4 separate regions of the Mus musculus genome follow, and all the other regions are reported to be linked to region 2. Evidence: microRNA targets listed by miRTarBase, many of them from high-throughput screens and not tested one by one. Region 2 holds a microRNA gene; each other region holds the end of a gene's coding sequence.
What was found. Region 2 holds the annotated microRNA mmu-miR-200c-3p (UAAUACUGCCGGGUAAUGAUGGA, at 1,518-1,540, shown strand). A microRNA usually pairs through its seed, bases 2 to 8, with sites in the 3' UTR of a target mRNA and lowers its output. Matches are read on the target gene's strand: a 7mer-m8 pairs with bases 2 to 8, a 7mer-A1 pairs with bases 2 to 7 and ends in A, and an 8mer does both.

Region 1: miRTarBase lists Rnf166 as a target of mmu-miR-200c-3p. Seed matches in the 3' UTR shown: 7mer-m8 at 1,074-1,080.
Region 3: miRTarBase lists Plxnc1 as a target of mmu-miR-200c-3p. Seed matches in the 3' UTR shown: 7mer-m8 at 3,344-3,350 and 7mer-A1 at 2,643-2,649.
Region 4: the mRNA of Cradd is a reported target of mmu-miR-200c-3p. Seed matches in the 3' UTR shown: 7mer-A1 at 1,202-1,208.

Annotation. Positions count from the first base shown.
Region 1 is chr8:122,463,689-122,467,688 of GRCm38, reverse strand. Rnf166 (ring finger protein 166) reads left to right here. Exons shown (of 6, transcript NM_001033142.3): 6 at 455-1,544. The coding sequence ends at 520. Among named protein-coding and RNA genes, the nearest start is that of Snai3, 5.0 kb to the right of the region's middle.
Region 2 is chr6:124,715,716-124,719,863 of GRCm38, reverse strand. Mir200c (microRNA 200c) reads left to right here and starts at 1,474; the gene lies at 1,474-1,542. Phb2 (prohibitin 2) reads right to left here. Exons shown (of 10, transcript NM_007531.2): 8 at 3,834-3,910; 9 at 3,434-3,439; 10 at 2,919-3,258. The coding sequence ends at 3,231. Mir141 (microRNA 141) reads left to right here and starts at 1,879; the gene lies at 1,879-1,950.
Region 3 is chr10:94,789,555-94,793,554 of GRCm38, forward strand. Plxnc1 (plexin C1) reads right to left here. Exons shown (of 31, transcript NM_018797.3): 31 at 1,312-3,736. The coding sequence ends at 3,632. It overlaps Cep83 (centrosomal protein 83), which reads left to right. Exons shown (of 16, transcript NM_029852.2): 16 at 150-782. The coding sequence ends at 254. Among named protein-coding and RNA genes, the nearest start is that of Cep83, 100 kb to the left of the region's middle.
Region 4 is chr10:95,172,446-95,176,445 of GRCm38, reverse strand. Cradd (CASP2 and RIPK1 domain containing adaptor with death domain) reads left to right here. Exons shown (of 3, transcript NM_001330138.1): 3 at 468-1,707. The coding sequence ends at 769. Among named protein-coding and RNA genes, the nearest start is that of Gm29684, 29 kb to the right of the region's middle.

The DNA.
Region 1 (4,000 bases), not on the chromosome of region 2:
TCTAGCCACGTAGGGTTGGCTTGCTTTTTCCTGGTCCCCAAGGTTGGAGATCTCATGGCCTTGACAACTTCCATCTAAGAAAACCCAGTTCTTGTCCAAGAACAGTGGGTTAAAGGCTCCTACTGCCTGCCAAGCTTGACAACTTGAGTTCAATCCCTGGTACCCATGTGACAAATGAGAAAGTCCTCTGTCCTGCCCACACTATGGCACACACATGTCTGTACATATACACACCAAAAACTAAGCTGTAGAAGAAAGATTCTTACCATCTGAAACCCGCGCCTCATGATCACAAACCTGCAGAGCACTGGTATGCACACGATCCAAGGCTACCTTTGGGGACACATGTAAGAACTGGGGCAGGCATTCTGTGAAGGAGGCTTGGGACACACTGTGACAGTGGGTGTTTGGGAGCCATCCTGCTCCTCCCTCATGCATCTCTGCTTTTCCCCAGGACTACAGCATCGACGAAGAAGCTGCCTTCCAGGCTGCCCTGGCTCTGTCCCTCTCTGAGAACTGAGGCACAGCCTGGCCACCCGCCTCTTATGGGGCAGAAGACACACTCCCGCTTTAAGGGATAGGGCTGTTGCCCTTCTGCCCTGGCACCTGCACAGGAGTGCGCCTCACCAGGCCAAGTGGAATGTTACACAAGGAGAGTTGGTCTCAGAATCCCCAGGCTGGGATCCTGGCTAGCTGGCCCCTTGTCATCAAGCAGGACCACCAGGTCCTGGCCAGCAGCACTGGGCCCTCGGTGCTTCAAGGGGCAAGTGCTGGCCATTGGGTCAGAGCAGGTGGCTGCCTTTCCCAGACTTGGTGTCTGTGTGTGGAGAAGGATGAGGTGCCCTAAGCTGTGCCCAGCAGGGCCAGGGGAAGAGGTGCCCAGCCAAGGCTGCCAGCCCACCCGGTCGGTCCCTAGCTTCGCTTCCACCGTGAGCATTTGGTACTGGCTTTTGTGATATTTAGGAACCCTGCGTTTTTCTATCTTATCCTGTGTGATAATCTTTTCATGTTTTCTAGAGCAAAGACAAAGCAGTTACTCTTCTATCGCAATACCCAGGTTTGACTAGGAAGAGCAGTATTTTTATGGAGCATTTACAAAGTTATATTTTTAAAAAAAAAAATCAAAAACATGTGGGATGAGTGTAGAGGGAGGAGCGTGGGTGTGGCCAGGGCTTTGTCTGTGTGACAGGTGGCGTCCCCAAGCCATGTGATCTCTGAGGAGGTGGCTCCTGTCTGGTGCTTTCTCTTGATGACCCAGAAGAAACCCTAGCACCGGCGGGCCACTTGCTGTGGCTGCTCCCAGCAGATGTAGGACAGCCCAGACAGAATGGAGTCCTTCTGCCCTGCCCTGTCACCTTCCAGAGCCAACCGCATCCCTCCTCAGGCAGGGACTTCCCTTACCAGTGGTAGAGCCCTCAAGGGCCAGAGAGACCTGCTTGGTGGCAGGTCAGGCAAGAAAACATTTGTCAGCATCTTATTCTGTTCATGGCATAAATTGCTGTCTTTTCAAAAGAGTTTTAAATAAAGTGTTTCCAAGCACCCACGCGAGCCTTGGTCCTGGGTTTTACTGCACCAGTGTCTGTAGGTCAGGGCTGCCAGGGTCCACAGCTCCACCTTGTCTCAGGTGCTTTCTCCCTGGTGACTCTACTGCCACGTGCCCTTGGTGACCTTTTCCCTGGGCTCTGGGTAGCCTGCCGTGCTGGGGACATTGGTACTAGTTGCTTCTCCCCATCTCTGGCTCCAGTTTCTCACTCTTCAGGCTGAATCCTGGATCTTATGAGGTGGGCCAGCTGCCGTGACTCCCCCAGGGCCCACCTCCTGGACACAGGGCCGTCGTCTAGCTCACTGAGGGTTCTAATAATCGAAGAGAGCTGGGCATGGCGGTTAAGCAGGGGATACCGCACTCAGGAGGCTGAGGCTGTATTGCTCCGAGTTCAAGGCCAGCCTGTGCTACATGGCCAGCTCCAGGAGGTCAGCAAGGACTGCACATAAGACCTCAGAACACAATAAAAAGCTCAAGAGACCCTCAGCAGCCAGGTTCACGAGAGCAGATGTACAGGCATGTCTGCCCAGAGGGACTCCTTACTGTCCCACTTTGTTCATAGGTGGCGCCCATGAACAGGCAGGTCTCTGTTGTTCCACTTAACACTTATGTGGGGTTGGGGGCCCTTGCGGGCAATGTCAGGTTCCAGACCAGCAGTGCCACAGCAAGACCACCCTCTTCTACTAGTTATTGTCATTGAGTGTCAACTACATCTGAGAGGCCTCAGAGCAGGGCTAGCTTGTGCTCGTCCCTGGCTGCCAGCTAAGCCTACCACTTGTTGGGCAGTCACTCACTGTCCTGAGCTAAAGTGGTGCTCATACAGGCCCAGGACTGACCACAGTGACACAGGCATGGCACTCAGAGGGCACGATCCCTGGGTGACCAGGAAACTCAGTCCCAGCTCCAAGCCAGTCCCAGCAGGCCCTGACCTCGGGAGCAGCCCTGACCTCAGCAACAGCCCTGCACGTGGCTTGTTTCCTGAGTTCTCTGTGCTGCATCTGTGGAGGCCACGGGGTAAGCCCAGTCTCTGAGGATCCTCAAAACTGCAGGGTCTGCAAACCCGTGGGGGTTGGGGAAAGCGAAGAAGGAATGGAAGATGGGGAAGCCGTTAGTCCACTGTGGTCACACTGCACATCTAATCAAGAGGCACAGGGCAGCCTGCTCTCCTGGCTGTGCTCTGCTTCCTAGACAGCACAGGCAGTAATAGATCTGCGAACTCACCAGTTAAGTGTGGACTCATTAGCCCTTGTACACTGGGTATCTGGCCTCATCCCTCAAGAGGCCTGGGGAAGGGGGAGAGTATAGCTGTCTTTGGTCCTTTGTTGGAGATTCTTTTCCCACCCTTTATTTCCCCCACCCTGCCCTAGTTTCACCCCCTAACACTAGACAGAAGAGAAACAAGGATAGAGGGAAAAGAGATACCTGAATCTGATTTCTTTCCTTTTGTTTCTTCTTTGAGCACAACTACTAACAAACTTCAACCAACCATCAACTCTGCCTCTTTCAGGCCCTAGCATTTATAGACCCAGAATTCACACAGTTGCAGAAACTCTCTGCAGCTGGCAAAACCACACATCTGTCAGAGCACGAGGCAGATCACAATCAGCTGCTGTGGGCAGCCTGAAGCCGCCCCACATCGCACACCTGGGATTAAAACAAAAGCACATTCAGACGATATTTCTGTGTTTATTTTAAAAGAAATCAAAAGCCCACAGCTGCCACTACAGGAGAGGAAGAGCCACACCCTGCTGCTGACGGGAGCTGAAGCAAGGGGGCAACAAGGGACCCCTTTCCTGTGTCCCACGTGACTAGCTACTATCCTCTTCTGTACTGGGTTCCCACTTCCTGCCCCAGGCAAAGCAGTCCCAGAGTGGAGAGAGGGAAACAAGAGGAGAGATGTCTTCTTACCATTCTCCCACACCTTCCTAAGTGTGCACTCTCTTCAGAGCATTCCACCTCAGGGAGACAAGTAGCTGAGATCTGCCAAATTAATACGTGGCCCCTAAGAGCAGGGGTCATGACCTTTCTTGAGAGTATTACACACAAACCTATTGCCACATAGTCACTTGCCAGAGGGGGGAGGGGACAGTCTCCCCAGGCAGAGAGCAAAGCAGCACCGTGTCTACAATCGGGTGGTTCCTGCCTAAGATGTGTCTCACCCTCTCTAGGCTGAAAGTTCAGTTAGCTAAGGACTATTCTTCCACCTTGGACTATTCTAGCAGTATCAGGAAGTCACCTAGGACTCCCCTGTGACTCTCCCGCCCACTCAGCCATCCTCTCCAACTCATGCTGCTGTGCCCTATGGCATCTAGGGTGTCAGAAACCTGGGCTGGCAGCAACATGCCTGTAGTTTCAAGTTATGCAACAGCACCGGAAGCTAGCACCCTGCTTCCTAGAAAGCAAACACCCTTGTCACACATTCCTGGACTTTCCTCTTAGGAAAGGGTCGTGTGGTCA
Region 2 (4,148 bases):
TGGGAAAGGCCAAGGGTAGCACATTGATTAGCCCGTTAGTTATAACGCCCAGTGTGTTAAGGGTCATATGCTGAGAGCAGTTGAGGGTGATAAGCTTATCTTACTAGGACTCTGGGAGCTGTCTGGGAGACCAGGCCAGAATTAGTCCACACACACACACACACACACACACACACACACACACACACACACACAAATTACAAGGGAAAAGTATAGAGAACAAAGAGGAGGAAGAAAGGGACAGCTTTGGGACTGAGGAACATGATAGCTCCCTGGAGCTATGGCCCTCCAGGGGGTGCGTGGGTGGGGCCATCACCTGTGTGCCTGCAGGGCCCCTCTCCCAGCAACACAGAACCACACAGAAGAAAGACAGGATCTAGTCCTTTAACTGCCCCGGACTAATTCTTTGAGGGCCAACTGAGAAAAGGGCTCTGCAGATCAGAGGTGGGTTGCAAGGACCGTCTCTCCTGGTTTAGCTGCAGTAGGGCTAGGAGTTTCGGGAAGGGAGGCCTTTGGGCCCAGGCAGACACTGCCATCTCAGGGTAAAACCAAAGATCCGGCGCAATGCTTGGCGATCCACAGGTCTGTTGGGGCTTCCTCCCTTCCCAGTTCTCAAGGGGTTGTTGCCCGGCCCTGTCTGAGCCCTGGACAGGGACACAGACCAATGCCTGCCTAGCTGACCCCACACTGACCTCAGGGCTGGTCCTCTGACTCTGGCTGAGAGCAGGGTTGGAGAGGCCTCAGAGAAGAGGGTGTTTTAGCTTGGGAGGAAGGAGCCGCTGGAAGGGGATCCAAAGATGGCCTCTTTCTTTATTCCTTTAGAAACAGGGAAAGTACAAGGTAGAAGAAGAAAGGCGGCCAGAAAGGGCGGGAGGCCTGGCGGGGTGGCCAGGCCTCAAGAGGAGGTGCCCAGGGCTGGTGCTGGGAGGGAAGGGGTTAAGGCGGAGAGGGGGGCAGCCTATGGCAGGAGGACACACCTGTGCGCAGGGCAGAGGCGGGCGGGGCCCAGGTGAGGCGCCTGTGCTGCCCGGCAGGTGAAGGAGGAAGAGCGAGAGTGGAGGCCAAGTCGGCTCTAGGCGGCTGAATCCGGGCCGTTGGTACACCTTTCTTTCTTCTGCACCACTCTAGGGGTCAGGCGGGTCTGGTGCCAGGTAAAGGCCACCGATCAGGGGGGTCCTGGGGCTGCGCTAGCGACGGTAGAACGCAGTAAATGGGTGTGTTGGAGGGCAGGGACAGGCCGTGGAATGGGGGGGGGGGGACTGGCTCGCAGGTGGATAGTAGAGGCTACAGAAAGCTGGTTTTGGCCTCAGTGATGGGCAAGTCAGGGTAGGCCTGGTGGGGAGCAGCCAGGCTCTCCCGGAAGTGTCCCAAATGACGCGGAGGTGGGGGATGGGAGCAGGAGATCTGCCGCTTCTCTTGAGGGGCTTGGGCTTAGCCAGGGCTGATCTTGAAGGTGGACTGGTTGGGTAGGGGCCCTCGTCTTACCCAGCAGTGTTTGGGTGCTGGTTGGGAGTCTCTAATACTGCCGGGTAATGATGGAGGCCCCTGTCCCAGTGTCATCGGCGTCCATTGCGCGTCCATCGCTTTAGGCACTTTTATCTGGCAGCAACCCATTCCTCCCACACATAACCTGGAAGCCCCTTCTTCCGAGTTAAGGGTGGCTCTCGGGTTGGCTGGTTGCCCACTGGAAGAACACAATGGCCCCAGCCCCTCCTCCAATCCAGTGTGATTTGTCATCTGGTAGATCCAGAACCTACTAGAAGCAGACCTTGGCCTTGGGATTGTCTACGCGCACACAAGAGGCCACAGTCAGCCAGCCAGCAGCGGCTTCCCTCTAGCGCTTGATCAGCGGTAGATCAATTTATATTGGCTGGCTCTGGGTCCATCTTCCAGTGCAGTGTTGGATGGTTGAAGTATGAAGCTCCTAACACTGTCTGGTAAAGATGGCCCCCGGGTCAGTTCCTTCAGCAGTGACCTTGGAGCCTTGAAGACCACCTAGGCCTCCAGGCCAACAGCCTCTGACCTTTAACCTTCTGGATGGGTGTGTGTGTGTGTGTATCACTTGGCAAAGGGGAACAATGGGAAAGAGACAAAATGGCTGCCTTCAGAACAGCAGCAAGATTTGGAAACACATTTGGTCCCAAGACGCTGGCTTCCGTTGTCTTTTCACCCTGGGAACCTGAATGTCCATGGGGAACGTGGGATACGATTCCGGTCCATTCGGTGGTCTGTCTTAGGCTTCAGGAGAGACCTACTTCCTCTAAGAACCCAAGGAGCTGAAGCTCTGCTGCACCCTCTCGCCCAGTCAGGCTCACCCTTCCTCTATTGTATTCTTGTCTGCCCAGAAGGAAAAAACCAAGGCAACGGTTCTAGCGAAGTCCGTGAGCAATGGCTTGATTTCCCCAGTACTGGAGACTCGGTCTTCGTAAGAAAGGTAGTCTGTGGAAAATAGGTTCAGTTGGGCTCCCGGGCTGTGGGGGTGGGAAGGCCTCCTCCACAGGGAGAAACTTCAGTGCAAATAGCTCATCGTACCTGGTGACTAAGTAACAGCACACCGGGACTTAGGAACACGGAAACCCTTGGGAGGAACACGCCATCTCCCGGAGCTAACCAGGAGCTGGTTACCAAGGAAGCAGCTCCCCCTGGGGTCATCACGTTTTTAGTTTGGCTCAGCAAAGCCTCAGCTGCTTCAGCTTTTAAAAAGATGTCATTAAGTCTGTGGGTTCATTTGGTAGACCTGCGGGTGGGGTGAAGGTGTAGTTGGGCCTGAGATCGGCTGCTCCCAGCTTAGGTCCTGTTGAGGACCCGGCGGCAGTCCGAATGCTACAGGCCAGACTGCTTGTGCCCTCTGCTGGCCGAGTCCCAGTGTGATCAATGTCTTCGCGCAATCTACGTACACACTCAGACACAAAATTTTTGGCTTTAAGTAATAAAAATTTTATTGAGAATTCCTGGCATGGTGGTTATCTCCCCCACTCTGGGAGAGGCTCAAGGCTGTAGGAAATCACGGAGAAATCACATTGTCCCACCCCGCTTCCCAGCCAACACAGGAAGGAGGAAAGCCTCTGAAAGGGCTGGTCTCAGTCTTCCTTAATCCAAGAGGGCAGATACAGAAAAGTCCATCACATGATGCCTGGGGCAGGGTGGGCTGTGCTTGACCCCCGAGCTGGCTCCTCCAAGCTGGACAAGTGTGCCAACTTCTCTGGTGGTGGGGTTCTTGATGTCCACACTCATTTCTTACCCTTAATGAGGCTGTCACTGGAGAACAAAGGGAACATTCCTATTATCGGGGATGTAAGTGTGAGGTGCACAACACCCCAAACCACAGCTTCTTCCTAAATAAAGGCCTGACAATGGGGAGAAAGGGGGTGTAGGGGCAGGTCCAGGAAGCAGATGGCCCCCAGGACCCCATAGCAAGGAGGCAGCCACTTACCTTCCCCTGCAACCAGCATGCCATGAAGTGAGCAGGAAATATGTGAAAAGAGAAATAAATCGTTAGTCAGCTACAGGCTCAGCTGCTCCAGACCCGCACTCCCCAGTGAGGACGGCTCTTTGCCACTATCTGTGCGGTCCCAGCAACGTGGGTCTCACGTGAAATTGCTACCAGTCGTCACTTCTCATTTAGATATTTATAAAGTGCCTTTCCCATAAGACATCCTGCTTTGCTTTATAAAGTCAGTCCTAGAAGATGCAAGATAGGAACTGCCAACCAGACTGACACCCACTTTTCTGACTGGTGTTCAGAGAAACTGTCCACGGCCCTGGTAACTAGATAGTCCAGGATCCAGGGTAGTGGACGGGTGCTTTGCTCTCTGGACAGTGGGATCTCTTACCGAGTAAAACTTTCATCCTGTAGATTCAGCACAAGGTTGTCAGCTGTGAGATAGATTCGGTTCTGTGATGTGGCGATCTACAGGACATGGAACAGACGTGTTAACAGGCTTCAAGTCTTTGATTCAATGGCCACCCAGTGGAAGACACAGTAACAGAACAGGCTCCTGCTCTAGTACAAAGACCCGATGCAAGAAGGCTTAGTGTCATAGCTCTGTAACAGCCATAAACAAAACCCGGGGAGCACTGTGGGGTCGGTCACTCTGCAGGAGGAAGGGTGCCCAAAGACATTGTTTAAGTAGAAACTCAAGCCAGTT
Region 3 (4,000 bases), not on the chromosome of region 2:
TAAGAGTGCAGTCTGAGGCAGGAGAGAAGAGCAACTAGTTTTTACATAGCTAACCTGGGTCATTTCTGTGCCACACTTTGGAGGCTTATGGAAGAGAGGCAGGGACGTTCCTAGTTTTTCTAGGTTTCTCTTAATGTGTCATTTTTAAGGAGGAACAACATCAAAGAGAGCTCTCTCTCCTTCGCAAAAGACTGGAAGAACTGGAGACTACACAAAGAAAACAACTGGAGGAGCTTGGGTCTCCTGGGGAGTGAAGCCTGAAGACAGGCAAAGCCAGAGACTCAATAAAAGTCTGACGGGTAACGTGTGGCACTGAGACGCCTTCTTCCTGTTTGCCAAAATCCATGAGCTGCCTCAAGAAAAGGTACTAGCAGCGCACTGCATGGGCTCCAAGATTTTAGGATTATACTAAGAAAATGAAAGTATTCATATATTTAGAACATGCATTGACAATCTTTTGACAATGCAAAAATAAAAGGAACTAGTTAGTTAAAAAAATCAAGTTTTCAAATTAATTTCTGTTTTGTTGATATTTTCTGGCATTTTGCTTGAAATATATCCACCCTGAAGTCCCTTTTCCTCATCTTTGAGATGCCTCCTTGGTAATGACAAAACCAATAAACATCTCCTTTATTATATATAAAAGTTTTGGAAAAGATAATCATTTATAAGTATAAAAACCACTTAAAAGTTTCTAAACATGTTTATTATAGAAATCTTTACCTTTTCTAAAAGCTGTGCACTTAATTTATTGAATAACTTAATAAATATTTTTGTATCTCTGCTGTTTGTGTTTAATTTTCCTGATCATAGAATATGTACTAAACAGTTGAGATGGCATCACTTCTGTGGCTTTGGTGAGTTTTAGAAAATGAAGTCCTGTGGCTGTAAAGAGTTGTTGGTCTTACTTGAAGCAGTGAGGTATTGAAGTACCGCTGACATTTAGTTTGGTTTCTCACTGTTAGGTAAGGATCAAATAATGATGTTTTATGTCCTTCTGTTTTCATTGTGCATCTTTGGAAGCTTCTTTATGTAATGTTTTAGAGGGATTCCACTGGAATAATTTCATGTCAGCAAACGGAAGCTTAAATTTATGTGGATTTGTCATTGTATAGACGTCTCAGCAGCCAAAAGTCAGGTTGCTCACTGAAGACAGGAATATAAGTGAGCAGCTCTTGGCGCCATTTAGCAAGGAGCTTGGTTTACTGAGCGGAGCTGCTTATTTATATGCAATGTACCGTGACATCTTGTTCCTGGAAAGTAATTTAGGTTAAGAAACCTATTAAAACTAGAAAAGACAAACAGTCCACATTTGTTACATCAAAATGTTTATTTTTGGATATAGACATTTAAAACATTCATCTCCAAGAACAACTTCAGTCAGGTATACAGTAAGAAATAGACTTTAAATCCTAATACAGAAAAGATAACAGAAGTAATTTTTAAGTGCTGCTTTAGACACTAGTGTTAGAAAAAAAAGTTTATAAATTAATTGTTTTGCACCAAAAATATGCAAAGAAACTTGAAACTAGATACTGTTTGTCATTTGCTTCTTTAGTTGTTGAATAGAGGCCCAGTGACTGATTGTCTTCAGCACACATCTAATTTGGACATTCTGTGCATTTGGCTAATGGGATCCAAAGTGTGATCTAGATAGTGCTTTCCACTGGAGGATTGACAAACACACTACATACATTAGTGAATCTTCACACCACCTCAGTGAGGTAGGTTAGAAATAGTATACAGAAATTGAGGCACAAAGAGGTAAGTGACTTGCCCAAAGTTCCTAACTCCTGAAAGAGGCGGTAAGGCTCACACAGGACTCATGTCAGAGAGCTGGACAGGGACCCCCTGGTGTAGCATTTGTAACACAGCTAAAGCTGTGGCTCAGCCTTTGCGTTTCTGTTCCCCAGAGAAGGGAAGGTTTGTTGGGCAATTCTCCTACCCTTGGCTCTCAAGTCTCCTCCAACTTTTCTCTTAGGAATGCCTTCACCTCTTTAAAGACGGTAGCAGCTTTAAATGGGGACCAGACCTCTCACCTTTCTACTTAGAAATAGACTATTTGGTAGTAGTTTTGAGATGTGTCCATTGGACAGACAGTAGTCACAAGAAACAAGATTGGGAGGGCGTCTGTCAGGGCAGCCACTGCACTGTTGAGGTGTCAGATAGTAAGGAAGAGAAAGGACTGCCATTTACCAGGACATTGCAGTCTAGATGGGCCAGGCAGTGCTGGTAAATGGTTTTGAGGAATGTGTGCTCAAGGTTTGATTGGCTGATTGAAAGAAAAGTCCTTCCTAAACTGGGGGTTTGGAACCCCAAGGGTAGGGGTGCCTGCCACAAGGTAAGTGAGAGGGCCGTCAGGTGACACTTTTTACTTCTGTTTAATAGAAGGAAAGCACAGTGGTATTAAAATTGGTCACGAGCAGCAAAAATTTGGGAATAAAAAAATCAGCAATAAAAAAGACTACAGTATAACTTGATAGGAAATTCTTTGAAAAAAAAAAAAAGAGGCACGAATAAAATGAGTATTTTTAAATCTTTCTCCTGTAAGGAATACTTTCAAAAAGTACATAGTAAGACTAAGATACCAAGTTGTACTAATATTTTCCAGGCCTTGGGCCTCAAATATATATATTTATATATAATACTCCAATGTGAACAACAATTTGATGAAATGTAAAATGTATCTTTTATTTTAATCACACACAAGTATTTATAACCACAGGGTTCACCAGAAATCTAAAGCAAGGAGACACTAGCATAGAAATGTAAGATTACAGGAGTGACTTACACATCCACAGACAGTTCTGATCAAACAGAAGTAAAGTCATGAACTCTTTTTCTTACAATACCCAACATGTCCACTACCAGATACATGAAAAGATAAAAAAGAGACACACCGTAGGACAGAGTCTGGGAAAACTGCTGTTGCATTTCAGTGAGACCCACCCACTCTCCTTGCTTTAGAGCTGCGTTGATGAGATGGAGGTGGGCTGAGGAGCCCGGCTGGCAACCACTGAAAAACACGAGCCCTTTCAACAATGTTGCAACACTGTTAGTTTTTGGTTTAAACACACACACTCACGAATGCTAAGTGTACACACTACCAAATTCTGCCTTCAGCCTTTCCAAGAACTACTGGGGAAAGAGGAGGAATGCCGCAGACCCTCAGGGTTGCCCTAACACCCCCTCCGGGTTTCCAAAGGACTCCTTCCACACTCTGAGCTTTGTTAGTATCCCCTTTCTTCTGCAGAAGTACAGTGTAGTCACAAGTACTACATAGCTGTAGTTTTCCAACAAAACCACTTAGATATCATTGTGCTTAAGTGGAGACTGTAGTTACAATACTGACACTTGCTTACTGGCCCTGTATTCTCTGTAAACAAGGAGGCTGTTTGCAACAACCACTTCAGCTCTATTTACAGAAAGGTTCCCACGATATACCCACAGGCACAGTGGTTGATAACGCTTTCTAAAAGCTGTGCATGTGCCTTGGTCTCCTAAAGGACAGTGCTCGAAGTGGAACCCATGTGCAAACTTAAGAAATTAACGACAAAGAGTAGCTCAAGCAGCCAGTTTGCTCCCAAGCTGTCTGAAGAACTTTGTCAAATAAAGCCAGGCCCCAGGGTGCTTACATCCACTTGCATTTCTTCTTTTCATCAAATAAGACTTTTACATGCAAGAGTTGTTTCTGAGCTTCTTCCAGCCCTCGTTCTCTTTCTAGTTTATTTAGAATCTGTTGACAATTAGAACAGTTATTTTACATATTAGAGTTTTAGCAGTACAATTCACAATTCTGGTGGGCTTGCTCTTTCTCTCTCTTTTCTTTTTTGCATTCCTGATGCTGTGAGTGGTAAAAATCTGTATGAAACAGATGCCAGCAGTTTCTTCGATCATTTCCATACTCACTTTGCAAGTTGTTTTGCTAAGTCATTATCACAGGATCAACAACACTTGGGCTTGAAATAGAAGCCCGAAAGAAATACCATCTATTTGCTTA
Region 4 (4,000 bases), not on the chromosome of region 2:
TCTATATACACAAGGAGGCAGAATTAAGCAACTATCCATGGATTTTTCTTCTTAGATCTTCTGCAGTGAACACTTTTAAGAGATGCTAAGCGGATGGCCTAGTTGGTCATCAAAGGGAGGAGAGGCCCTTGGTCTTGTGAAGATTCTATGCCCCAGTATAGAGGAATGCCAGGGCCAGGAAGCAGGAGTGGGTGGGTTGGGGAGCAGGGGTAGGGAGTAGGGGATAGGGGATTTTCGGAGAGGAAACTAGGAAAGGGGATAGCATTTGAAATGTAAATGAAGAAAACATTTAATTAAAAAAAAAAAACTGAAGGGGGGGGCGGTTTCAGCGGCACGCACGGTTCAGCCCACGAAACTGAGCAGTACAAAAAGACCGGAAATAGTCGCCTATCTGCCCCGCCCCATTCTCAAGTCTTCCCTATATGAGGTGCTTGCTTTATTCAATTTCCTGTTCTTTTCCTCCTCAGGTGACTGGATGGCCGGAATCCCCTCACACATCCTCAGCAGCTCGCCATCAGACCAGCAGATTAACCAGCTGGCTCAGAGGCTAGGCCCGGAGTGGGAGCCCGTGGTCCTGTCTCTGGGACTGTCCCAGACCGACATCTACCGCTGCAAGGCCAACCATCCCCACAACGTGCATTCGCAGGTGGTGGAGGCCTTTGTCCGCTGGCGCCAGCGTTTTGGGAAGCAGGCCACCTTCCTAAGCTTACACAAGGGCCTCCAGGCAGTGGAGGCTGATCCCTCCCTGCTCCAGCACATGCTGGAGTGACCTGACCCCCCCCCGCGCCCCCCCCCCACTTGCTGTGGGGGTGGTGGGGCGTGGGTTCCCAAGTCACACTGGCTGAACCGGACTTTTCTCAGCAGGTGGCTTTGTTCTGGGCTTTTCAGTGATCTGTTTACGGAAAGAGATCGTCCACCACTCACTCAACCATCGATTGGCTTTAATTGCTTGAAGACTGCGCTGTTGTAACTATGGTTTGGAACTTTGTGGCTGGCCTTTAACAGGAGGCCAGAAAAAACACAACACCCACCCTACCCAACCCCCCAAAAAATCATGCTACAGCATCGAATGCAGGTGTCCTGCATACAAGGCAGCTACACTTGTGTTGCCTGGAGACTGGATTGTGCATTTAGCTCTTCATAATGGTGATGATAATAAAAAAGCAAATTGTGATATAGAATGTGCCTCTTTCAATGAGAGAGTATTATATCACACACACACACACACACACACACACACATACACACACACACACCACTCTTCTGTTGCATAGACGGAGGGTGTAAAAATATGGGAGTGGAGCAAGATTGATAGCAGTCATGTGACGACGGAGATAAATAACTCAGGCAGGATGTATAGATTAAGCATGAGACACCGAAGCTCCCTGCAGAGGCCAGGGAGAGAACGGAAGACCTTCATCTTAACAAATTGTATGAGGAGTCTCTGTCCATTTGTTAAAGGCATTGGATCAGAGACAAGAGGGCTCAGTGTTTCTCTTGAGGCCTGAATGGCTGAAGGCGGTGAGTTCCCGAGGGGCGTCATGGGTTGTCCAGCCTTTCATTAACTGCACATAGTGTTAGCCAGACAGGTGTACGTGTTTGTCATCCCATCTAAGAGACTGAAGCAGGAGGATCACCTGTACATGACTGCTTCTTTCAACATTTTAAAATGTGTAACTTCTATTAAATTCTCTCAGTGCAAATAAAGTGCGTGTCCATTGTGTCCTTTCAAAAACCTAACAATAGATAAGATGAGGAGAAGCAAGAGTCTCCTTGTACTCCCCGCAGTCAGTCAGCTTTGCTCTGCTCTGCCGTCAGTTTCTTAGTTAAGCCCGCCCGCACATCCCTTCTGCAGCTGGAGCAGGATTGCCCTGTAAGGCTCTTTAACACTTGGCTTCCTTGCCTTAACACATAGCACTTGTTCCAATGCCAAAGGCCTTTACAACATCCTTTGCTCTTAGAGCACACTTGCAAGAGCTATCGTTTTGGCAGCACCTTTAAAGAGATTGAAGGCACTCAGCTTCTAAGTCTACCAACTGCTTTCCCCATCAAGAAGTTCGCTGGCATTGCAGTTCTTGCTTGACACACCCATAACCCCACCCCACCCAGAACCAATCCGAGCAAACTATTGTTCACTGCCTGCACTGTGCACCTTGCATCCTCACAAAGCTTAGCATGTCTGCATTCTGAGTTTTGTCCCTTGCCCCAAGATGTCCTCTCCACTGTACTACATCTAATTACCGCTGTGTTTCTTTTCTTCAAGAGAATGTTAGGGGAGGGACAGTCAACACAGAAGTTGCACACAGCCCCTCTGCTTCCTGAGGGTGTATGCGCAATTGACAGTTGCCGGAGGGAGAGACTGGCAGTATAGTTGTCACCTGTAAGTGTCCCTGTGACTTCTCACCATTGTCCTCACAAGTAGTCCTAGTAAAACTCATTCTTGTACCAGTCCAGATTTGGGTGGAGTGGTTTCTTTGGTCTGTCATCTTCAGAAGCCCTCTCTGAGGCACACAGACATTTGCTCAGATCTTTCCGGAAAAGCTAATGCGGCTGAGAGGCTAATCTCATCTCTGTTAATTGAGGACATTAAAGCCGACCAACAAAGACACAAGCCCTACTCTCTGGAGCTCACTGCCACATGAGACAGCCACAGACCTCTAATCACAACATGATGTGACAATTCCACTCCTGAGTACTGAGCCAGTGGGAACAGAGCAAAAGGACCCCCTCTGGTTTGCTTTTGAGGGGATGGGGGGCCTGAAGAAAAAGAAGGCTCCGTCACTCAGGTAAATCACTCCACCTTCTTGGGCAGGTTTATTCACGTATGCACACTAACTGGTCTATGAGTGCAGAGGATCTGCCAGAGGTAAAAAAGATAAATTGTTCATACAGTGGGTTTGGACAAGGAAATGTCTGAGCTGAATTATTTTGGCTACTGAGTTTTGTTTTGTTTTGTTTTGTTTTGTTTTCCCTAATATTCTTTATCAAGCCAGGGTCCCTCAAAATGTTAGGCTGAGGTCCCTCATCCTTCTGGGGCTTGTACAGCAGCTGAGAGTGTGCAGCTCTTCTGGGCATCCCTAGGGACTCAGGGTAAGGAAAAATGAACTGGCAGCACACGGCAGAGCATGTCCAGAACCTGGGTGGGACTCTGATCTAACACTTAGCTCTCATTAAATGAATCCCTACAGTTGGGGCACAAATTCTTGCTGGTTACAAAACACCCAAGTTACTGGAGATCCGAAGATAAATAAGACACAGTCTCTGCCCAGCAGGATCTCGGCCCTCCAGGAAGGCAGCCATAACAGCCAGGCAACTCTGACACTTCACAGAAAAGGGAGCAATTAAGTTGGCCACAGAGGAGATGACACTTCGGCTGAGCTCTTGTAAGCCCTGCCCAAGTTAGCGTGATAGCCCCCCCCTTAGGGGATATTAGGAGACACCAGAATTCCATTTAATGTCTTCTTCATCCAGCTTGACAAATGGCACTCCTTCCAAATGTCTACAAGATGCATATGCCTCCAAAATGCTATCTCGGAGCCATTAGAAACTAAACACATTGACAAATACCATCCTGTTCCATACTTCTTTATAGCAGTGGAGTGTTCAGCCACAGTAAAATCAGGATCAGGCTTCAAGGATTTAGGTATCAGGCATATTTGAGGGTGCTTTTTATAGCACCCCTCTCTCCCCCACCCCAACACTTGTACAAATTCAAAATAGATGTTGCAGCATACAGGGAATGTTTTTAATATAATGTCTTGTTTACTTCCCTGAACTATAAACATCTGAGAGGAACAGGGACGTCTGTCTTGTTGGCACTTACTGTTCTTATAGGAAAATTAAAGTCTCTCAAAGACACAGTTCAGTGAGCCAATTAAACCTTGTCTCTGCTTTGTTAAGCTCACGAGAAACATATGGTAGTGATTCTGATAGCTATTGTTCATTCAAAGCATCAGCTATGAAATCCAGGTTTGAATGCTCAGAAAGAAAAAGCAGATTC